Linked DNA regions of Xenopus tropicalis. The protein of the gene in region 1 interacts with the protein of each later gene in a pairwise test. Links are inferred from orthologs where the notes say so. Each region holds a gene or a part of one and is shown on either strand. Other genes may lie near its edges.

Evidence for each region.
Region 2: the proteins of rbsn (region 1) and ehd1 interact in binary tests that used the Homo sapiens proteins (3 or more experiments, as listed by UniProt). The link is inferred for Xenopus tropicalis from reciprocal best matches to the Homo sapiens genes RBSN and EHD1.

The regions. Positions count from the first base shown.
Region 1 is NC_030680.2:132,265,109-132,268,671, forward strand, and holds part of rbsn (rabenosyn-5), read left to right. Parts: intron 1-598; coding exon 599-843; intron 844-1,013; coding exon 1,014-1,084; intron 1,085-2,449; coding exon 2,450-2,536; intron 2,537-3,038; coding exon 3,039-3,141; intron 3,142-3,452; coding exon 3,453-3,557; intron 3,558-3,563. UniProt on the Homo sapiens protein: Rab4/Rab5 effector protein acting in early endocytic membrane fusion and membrane trafficking of recycling endosomes. Required for endosome fusion either homotypically or with clathrin coated vesicles.
Region 2 is NC_030680.2:32,912,319-32,916,668, forward strand, and holds the start of ehd1 (EH domain-containing protein 1), read left to right. Parts: upstream 1-1,534; 5' UTR 1,535-1,609; coding exon 1,610-2,013; intron 2,014-4,350. UniProt on the Homo sapiens protein: ATP- and membrane-binding protein that controls membrane reorganization/tubulation upon ATP hydrolysis. In vitro causes vesiculation of endocytic membranes. Acts in early endocytic membrane fusion and membrane trafficking of recycling endosomes.

The DNA of each region.
Region 1 (3,563 bases):
CTTTCTCTTTCCTTTTCGTTGTTGCCATGCCACTTGCTGCCACTCCTGTTGCATGCAGTTACCCTACTGATTTCAATTAGTCCTAAACTCTGGCTCTCTACCCTTCCTATACTAATTTCCTTAGTTATATTCACTGACCTCTGGAAATTAAGTTCATCTTTACATGAACATTTAGTATGATATTTAGTGGATAATATCTAGCAATTCTTTAGTTGGCCTTAATTTTTTATTTTGAATACTTTTTATATTATATGCCTTTTTTTTCCTGAGTCTTTCCAGCGTTCAAATGAGGGTCGCTGACCCTAGCAACCAAAAAACTATTGCTCCAGGAGGCTACAATTTCATTGTTGTTACTTTTTTTTTACTTCTATTTCTATTCAGGCCCTCTCCTATGTATAATCTCTGATTCAAACCACTGCCTAGTTGCTAGTGTAATTAGGACCCTATTGACCAGCTGATAAAATGCCAAACTGGAAAGTGGCTGAATAAAAAGCTAAATAATTCATAAACAACATTTAATAAAAAATTAAGACCATTTGAAATTTGTCTCAGAACATTACTTTCTATATTGTATTAAAAATTAATTTTTTATTTACAGGCAAGCTGACCAGTGCCAGCAAACACTCACTGTCTGCACATGGCAGCCCCAACTTGTCCCCCAGCAGCAGTGCCCAGACATCCCGCAGGGGTAGCATCAGTAGCCTCAGCAGTGTGAGCTCCGTGCTGGAGGAGAAGGACGATGACAAGATACGTTGCTGCCACCACTGCAAGGACACGTTGCTGAAACGCGAGCAGCAGCTGGATGAGAAAGAGCATACTCCTGAGATTGTAAAGTACTACCAGGTGCAGTATGGGAGCCAGTGGGTCAGATGGGAATTATACTCTAAATGCTAGTGCAGGCAGACTTGCTCTTGGTATATTACCTATCATAATATACTTTTGTATCATAATATACTGTTGTGTATCCATGGTGAGCAGAGCAAATGCCTCATTATTTGTGTTTAACTTTACAGAAACTTCGAAGCTGTATGGAGAAGGTTGATGAGAAAGCGCCCGAGTATATCAAAATGGCTCAGTCTATCAAGTGAGTATGAGAATATACTGTCAATATATCAATGAGATGGACTGTATTGACTGCTTTTCTCAGTTGGCCTATGTTATACTTTTGCAATGAAAGCCTGATTTTGGGAATCTTTAAATTGGTTGTAGCCTAATACAATGGAAATTAATTCTATCAAGCTTTCGGGTGTATATTAATGAGACAAATGTCAGTTTTTGGTCATTTGTAAATGTATTTGCTATTGAAAACTATATCTGTCTGGATGTTTGTATTCTTAGCATTTTGGGTTCTGACTTCTGAAGCCATGTAGTAGAAGCTAAGCGATTTACTGGAGGAGAATTGACTACGTAGTTTCAAGAGTCAGAACCAGAAAACATAAAGGAACACACAGATGCTGTTTTTACTGCAACTACATTTACAAATAGAATGACTACAATCATTTAATGTATATTGGAAACGTACTTATAAATTTCATTTTCTTTCAGTAGGCAGAAAAACTATTTTGGTTGGAGGACAAGTTGCCCAGTTAACCACCATTATTTAATATTTTGCTGCTTTTCATTGTGTGTTTTTTCATATTTTGCATGTCTCGTGTATGCCTTGAATTCAATAAACCTTTTTAAATCTACAATGTCTGACCTGCAGCCCTCTGTCTCTTGTTAAATGTCTATTTCCCATTTAGCTCTGGGGGAGATTTTTTGAACAATTGCACAATAAAATCTTGCTCTCGGCAGGTTCATTTATCTCTCCTAGTTGTCCTTGCATATTTGTATTGTATTTTACATTACTGCAACAGTGTTTCTGTACAGTAATGCAGGCACATTTTGCCCTGTCAGTATGTCTCCACTGGCTGTGGAGTCTCACAATATATACATTAGTGAGTGTAAGAGTTAAAGTGCAAGAGCGCTCACTTACTAGCACTCCCCCCCCCCCACCCTGGGGTTTTTAGCTCTCAATGCCCCACTTAGTGGGCAAAGTGCAAAAAAATAAATAAATAAATAAAATGGCTGATTGCAGCTTTTTTATTTTTTACACTTTGCACACTGTGTGGGGCATTGTATATGAGCTTTCTAGCGTGCCGTAACACTCAGTTGTGTATAGAGCAGGTATAAGATTATATAATAAAGCATTTAATCCCACAGTTCTTGTTTGCTGTAGGTGTAGATGTAATCAACAACTCTGTTATCCTGTGGGCGGGAGGTAATTTCATTCTTTTACTTATTTTTTTTTCAGCAGTGCGCAAAAGAACAGGCCATTCTGTATCTTAAACACCCACACTTGTCTTTCCTACGGATTCCTTAGGTCTGATCTGCTGCTTGTGCAGTAGTCAGGGGGGTAATTATCTTGCCGAAATAATATGCATCTTTGTTTGTGTTTTTATATCTGCAGTGCTGGGGAGACAACCTACAATTTGGACCATACCAATAACCTGCGGGTTGAGTTGCAAAAATACTACGAGTTAATAGATGCATTAAGGTGAGAGTCCTCATTTTGTGTTGTAAACAGCATGTGTTGTATATGTGATGTGGAAAAATGCAGGCAGAGAAAACTCCAATACTGTCCAGTGCCATCCTGTGTGTGTATCAAATGATATGCCTTAAGGTGGCCAAACACTGGAATGATGCATTCCTTTGGCAGCACTACATAGAGGAAAGGTAGGTGGTTAGCTTGTGTGTCATTGAGATGCCCTAGGTAGGGTGTGTTGGGATGGACTGGGGACAGGGATCCCTGTACTTTCTGCCCATGTGCATGGCACCTTACTCTGGATTTTCATTTTTGCAGGGTGTAAAGCACAGCCCAGTGGTGAGTGCTTATGCTCAGATAACTCTAATATAGCAATATTTGATAGGTGGAAGAAATCTGTACTATTCTTACTAAACATGTGTTTTTGCTTCAAAAGTATCCTGCTGGCCTCCACCATTTTAGAAAAAGCCCTTTGCTATATATTGCCCATATAATCATTTGTATTGTTTGCCAGCAAGAAGATTCTCACCCTTGGAATGAATGAAGAACCCAAGCCTCACCCTAAAACACAGCAGTTACAGAAGATGGTGAGATATTCGGCCACCTTGTTTGTTCAGGTAATGATTTGTTTATTTACTTCCTTGACATTTATTTGTTTAGAATCTCTGCATATGAGATGCTGGTGCAACACTGTTATTGAATTGTAGTTGGCAAATAGATTAGGGAATATAATGCTTATGGTAAGTTCAGTTCCACGATTCTCACTCAGTACCATGCACAGTCAAATTCCTGTTAATTGTAACCTCCATCAAGAGCAGTAATGAGACTCTCACTTTCTGTTTTACTGGTCTGACCAGTAAAGGCAGTGAGTCACTTGACATGAAGGACTCTTGACTCATCCTTTTTGTTAATTTCTCTTTCTGTTCAGGAAAAATTACTGGGCTTAATGTCTTTGCCAACTAAAGAAATATACGAGGAGCTTAAACAGAAGCGGAGGCAAGAGAATGAGCAGAAACTGCAGAGAGAGCGACAGGTAAGT
Region 2 (4,350 bases), about 99 Mb from region 1:
AGTAGTCTGGAGCACTGTATACATATGTCCTACAGCCTAGCCCTAGGTCTTTGCCTTTCTCCCCTAGCCCCAAATTTACTCTTTATTGTCTTATAACAGTGTCCCCTTGGTATATGTTCCTATATAACCTATAACTCATCAAATTCACTGTGGCTAAAACATCAGTTTGAAAGTCATAGCAACTTTACATCCATTGCTGGAAGCAGCAGATCATGACTACCAGCTAGAATTAGCATTACAGATAAAACAACAGATGTCTGAAACTGACTTCAAAGTTCTAGTCACCATACTCTCTAAAAACATTTTCCATATAGGAAACAGCATGAAAGAAGGACTTGATACCCCTGTACGATCTCTTTCTGGGCAATGTATGCCAGCACTATACAATGAGAGAGCTTAGGGACTCTGTATGTCTGCGATGCCAAGACTCTGACAAGCTTTACTTATGTCGGACTTTCCTGTTTACATAAGAATTTGAATAATTTCCCGCACTCTAACTATGGCGAACTCCACCTTCCTTTGTTTAGGGTATTTCAAAGACTTTGTTTTGCAAAAGGAGAAAAAAATGCAAAGTTTAAAGGATGTGAAAGAAAAACATAAAAGAGAAAATACAGTTATATTATATTTGGCTGAACTCAACAAATCAGGTAGGGGACCAGACTTTCTGCTTAAGGGAGGTTTACTGACACAAGGATGGCACAAAAACAGACCGAAATAGCAGAAATAATGCAGTAAAAAATAGTTTTATTTAAAGAAAAAAATCTCACAAGGACAAGCCTTACACATTCCATGCCGAGCTTGAAAGGCACTTAATCATTGGCTCAAGTTGCCCCTCAAGGCACGGAATGCGTAAGTCTTGTCCTTTTGAGGCGTTTTTTCTTTAAATAAAACTAACAGTGCTCTTCAAAAGCCTTTCCCAGTTAATAGTTCATAGGAAAGACTTCAGAAAGTTCTTCTGAGGCTTCTGACCTCCTTTCTGAGCAAAGCAACATCAGAACAGCTTAGTTTTCTTTTTTAACATATATTTCCCAGACTGTGTAGCTGAAAGAACTGACCAGCAGGTGGCGCTGTTGTTACATAAGGTATTATATTACCAGTTTATAAACTGGAACCAAAAACATTCTGTTAATAGTAAAGGTGCTTGTAATTTTACATCCGCACATTTATTACGCTGCCATTCATGCTAGTGGCAGACTTTACTTCACCACACAAAATGTATTTGTATATTTTTGTAACGCCGTTCTTTCTGTATTAAACAGAATACAGAGACTTTTATAGCTCAGCTGAACTCAGCAATTCATGAGAAATTCGCTTTTACTTGGGAGAAGACAATGACAGGCGCCATACCATGCCCTATAAACCCGTTACGGGCCAGAGAGACGGGACCAAAGTCCCGGATAGAGAATTGACCCGTGTGACTCCACCGGCGGGCACGGCTCCATCCTCTCATGCACGCCTCCCAGCAGCGGACGCGCGTCCCCGCCACGCCCAGTAGTGCGCGCCCCCGGTCCCAAGCTCAGTCTCTCGGCCAGCTGTGAGGAGCTCGTCCCGGCTCCGTTATCCCATCCCGTGTAGGTAGGAAACAAGGGTTGCCCCAGCAGTAGCCGCCATGTTCAGCTGGTCGAATAAGGATACTCGGAGGAAGAAAGAACCGGAGCTTTTCCAGACGGTGTCCGAGGGTCTCCGGAAGCTTTACACACACAAGTTGCTGCCTCTGGAGGAGACTTACCGCTTTCATGACTTCCACTCCCCTGCCCTGGAAGATGCCGACTTCCATAACAACCCCATGGTGCTGCTGGTGGGGCAGTACAGTACGGGCAAGACCACCTTCATCCGCCACCTCATAGAGCAGGACTTCCCCGGCATGAGGATCGGGCCCGAACCCACCACCGACTCATTCATCGCCGTCATGCACGGGCCCGTGGAGGGGGTCATGCCCGGGAACGCGCTTGTGGTTGACCCCAAGAAACCCTTCAGGAAGCTGAGCGCCTTCGGCAATGCCTTCCTTAATAGGTAACCCGTGTGTAGGCTTCAGCTTGGGGGGCACTGTAGGGTAAGCAGCCCACAGGTCGCAGCGATTGTCCCTTGGAAGCATGCGACAAAGCATTAGTGAGAGCCAGTCTTGCACCTCCCTGAGCTCAATGGGCACAGTCTGGCTCAATAACATTAGGCCAATGGGCACAGTCTGGCTCAATAACATTAGGCCAATGGGCACAGTCTGGCTCCCTAACATTAGGCCAATGGGCACAGTCTGGCTCAATAACATTAGGCCAATGGGCACAGTCTGGCTCAATAACATTAGGCCAATGGGCACAGTCTGGCTCAATAACATTAGGCCAATGGGCACAGTCTGGCTCAATAACATTAGGCCAATGGGCACAGTCTGGCTCAATAACATTAAGCCAATGGGCACAGTCTGGCTCAATAACATTAGGCCAATGGGCACAGTCTGGCTCAATAACATTATGCCAATGGGCACAGTCTGGCTCCCTAACATTAGGCCAATGGGCACAGTCTGGCTCAATAACATTATGCCAATGGGCACAGTCTGGCTCCCTAACATTAGGCCAATGGGCACAGTCTGGCTCCCTAACATTAGGCCAATGGGCACAGTCTGGCTCCCTAACATTAGGCCAATGGGCACAGTCTGGCTCCCTAACATTATGCCAATGGGCACAGTCTGGCTCCCTAACATTAGGCCAATGGGCACAGTCTGGCTCCCTAACATTAGGCCAATGGGCACAGTCTGGCTCCCTAACATTAGGCCAATGGGCACAGTCTGGCTCAATAACATTAGGCCAATGGGCACAATCTGGCTCCCTAACATTATGCCAATGGGCACAGTCTGGCTCCCTAACATTAGGCCAATGGGCACAGTCTGGCTCCCTAACATTAGGCCAATGGGCACAGTCTGGCTCAATAACATTAGGCCAATGGGCACAGTCTGGCTCAATAACATTAGGCCAATGGGCACAGTCTGGCTCACTAACATTAGGCCAATGGGCACAGTCTGGCTCCCTAACATTAGGCCAATGGGCACAGTCTGGCTCCCTAACATTAGGCCAATGGGCACAGTCTGGCTCCCTAACATTAGGCCAATGGGCACAGTCTGGCTCCCTAACATTAGGCCAATGGGCACAGTCTGGCTCCCTAACATTAGGCCAATGGGCACAGTCTGGCTCCCTAACATTAGGCCAATGGGCACAGTCTGGCTCCCTAACATTAGGCCAATGGGCACAGTCTGGCTCCCTAACATTAGGCCAATGGCACAGTCTGGCTCCCTAACATTAGGCCAATGGCACCTCTGCTGCCCTGTGGGGGGAAAAAGTGGCTGTCAAAACGCCCCTGTCCGCTCTGTATTACTCCGCTTGCATTGAGGTTTTCCCATTCACTGCTCAGCCAGGGCACTTACCATTATATATAACAGTGATCCCCAACTAGTGGCTTATGAGCAACATGTTGCTCCCCAACTCTTTTGATGTTGCTCCCAGTGTCCCCAAAGCAGGTGCTAACTTTTGAATTTCTGGTTAGGAGGCAAGCTTTGATTGCATAAAAACCCAGTGCAGTTGCCAAAGAGAGCCTTCTGTGGTCTCCCAGTCAACATAGGGGCTACCAAATAGCCAATTATAGTTCTTATTGGTACACCCAGAAACTTTTTCCATGCTTGTGTTGCTCTCCAAAACTTTTTCCATTTGAATGTGGCTCACCGGTATAAAAGGTTGGGGATCCCTGATATATAACATAATGAGCAGTGACAGGGGCGTGCCAGGGGCGTTTTGCTAGCTTCTAGTTTCTGCTGGATAACCTACTGGAAGGTAAAGTTCCCCTTAATAGCCACAATATATGGCTGCAGCATGTCATAGGTTTGTGTTGGTTCCATTGCTGTAGAACAGGGATCCCCAACCTTTTATACCCATGAGCCTCATTCAAATGGAAAAATTGTTGGAGAGCAACACAAGCTTGGAAAAAGTTCCTGGGGGTGCAAATAAGAGCTATAATTGGCTACTTAATAGCCCCTATGTGTACTGGCAAGCCTATTGGAGGCTCTGTTTGGCTTTACATTGAGTTTTATGCAACCAAAACTTGCCTCCAAGCCAGAAATTAAAAAATAAGCACCTCTTTTGAGGCCACTGGGAGCAACATGTTGCTCACAAACCACTGGTTGGGGATCACTGCTGTAGAACTACACCCAGGGGTGCTGGGAGATTGAAGTGTATCATGCAGGCAGCTCTGGGTGTGTAAACCCCCCTCCCCACCCTCAGCAGCTGAGTACTGTCCTGGGGGCTAAACTTCCCCAGCTGTTGTGCCGCTCTGGTCAGAGCTGGTCACTGTAATCTAAGAACAGCAAGA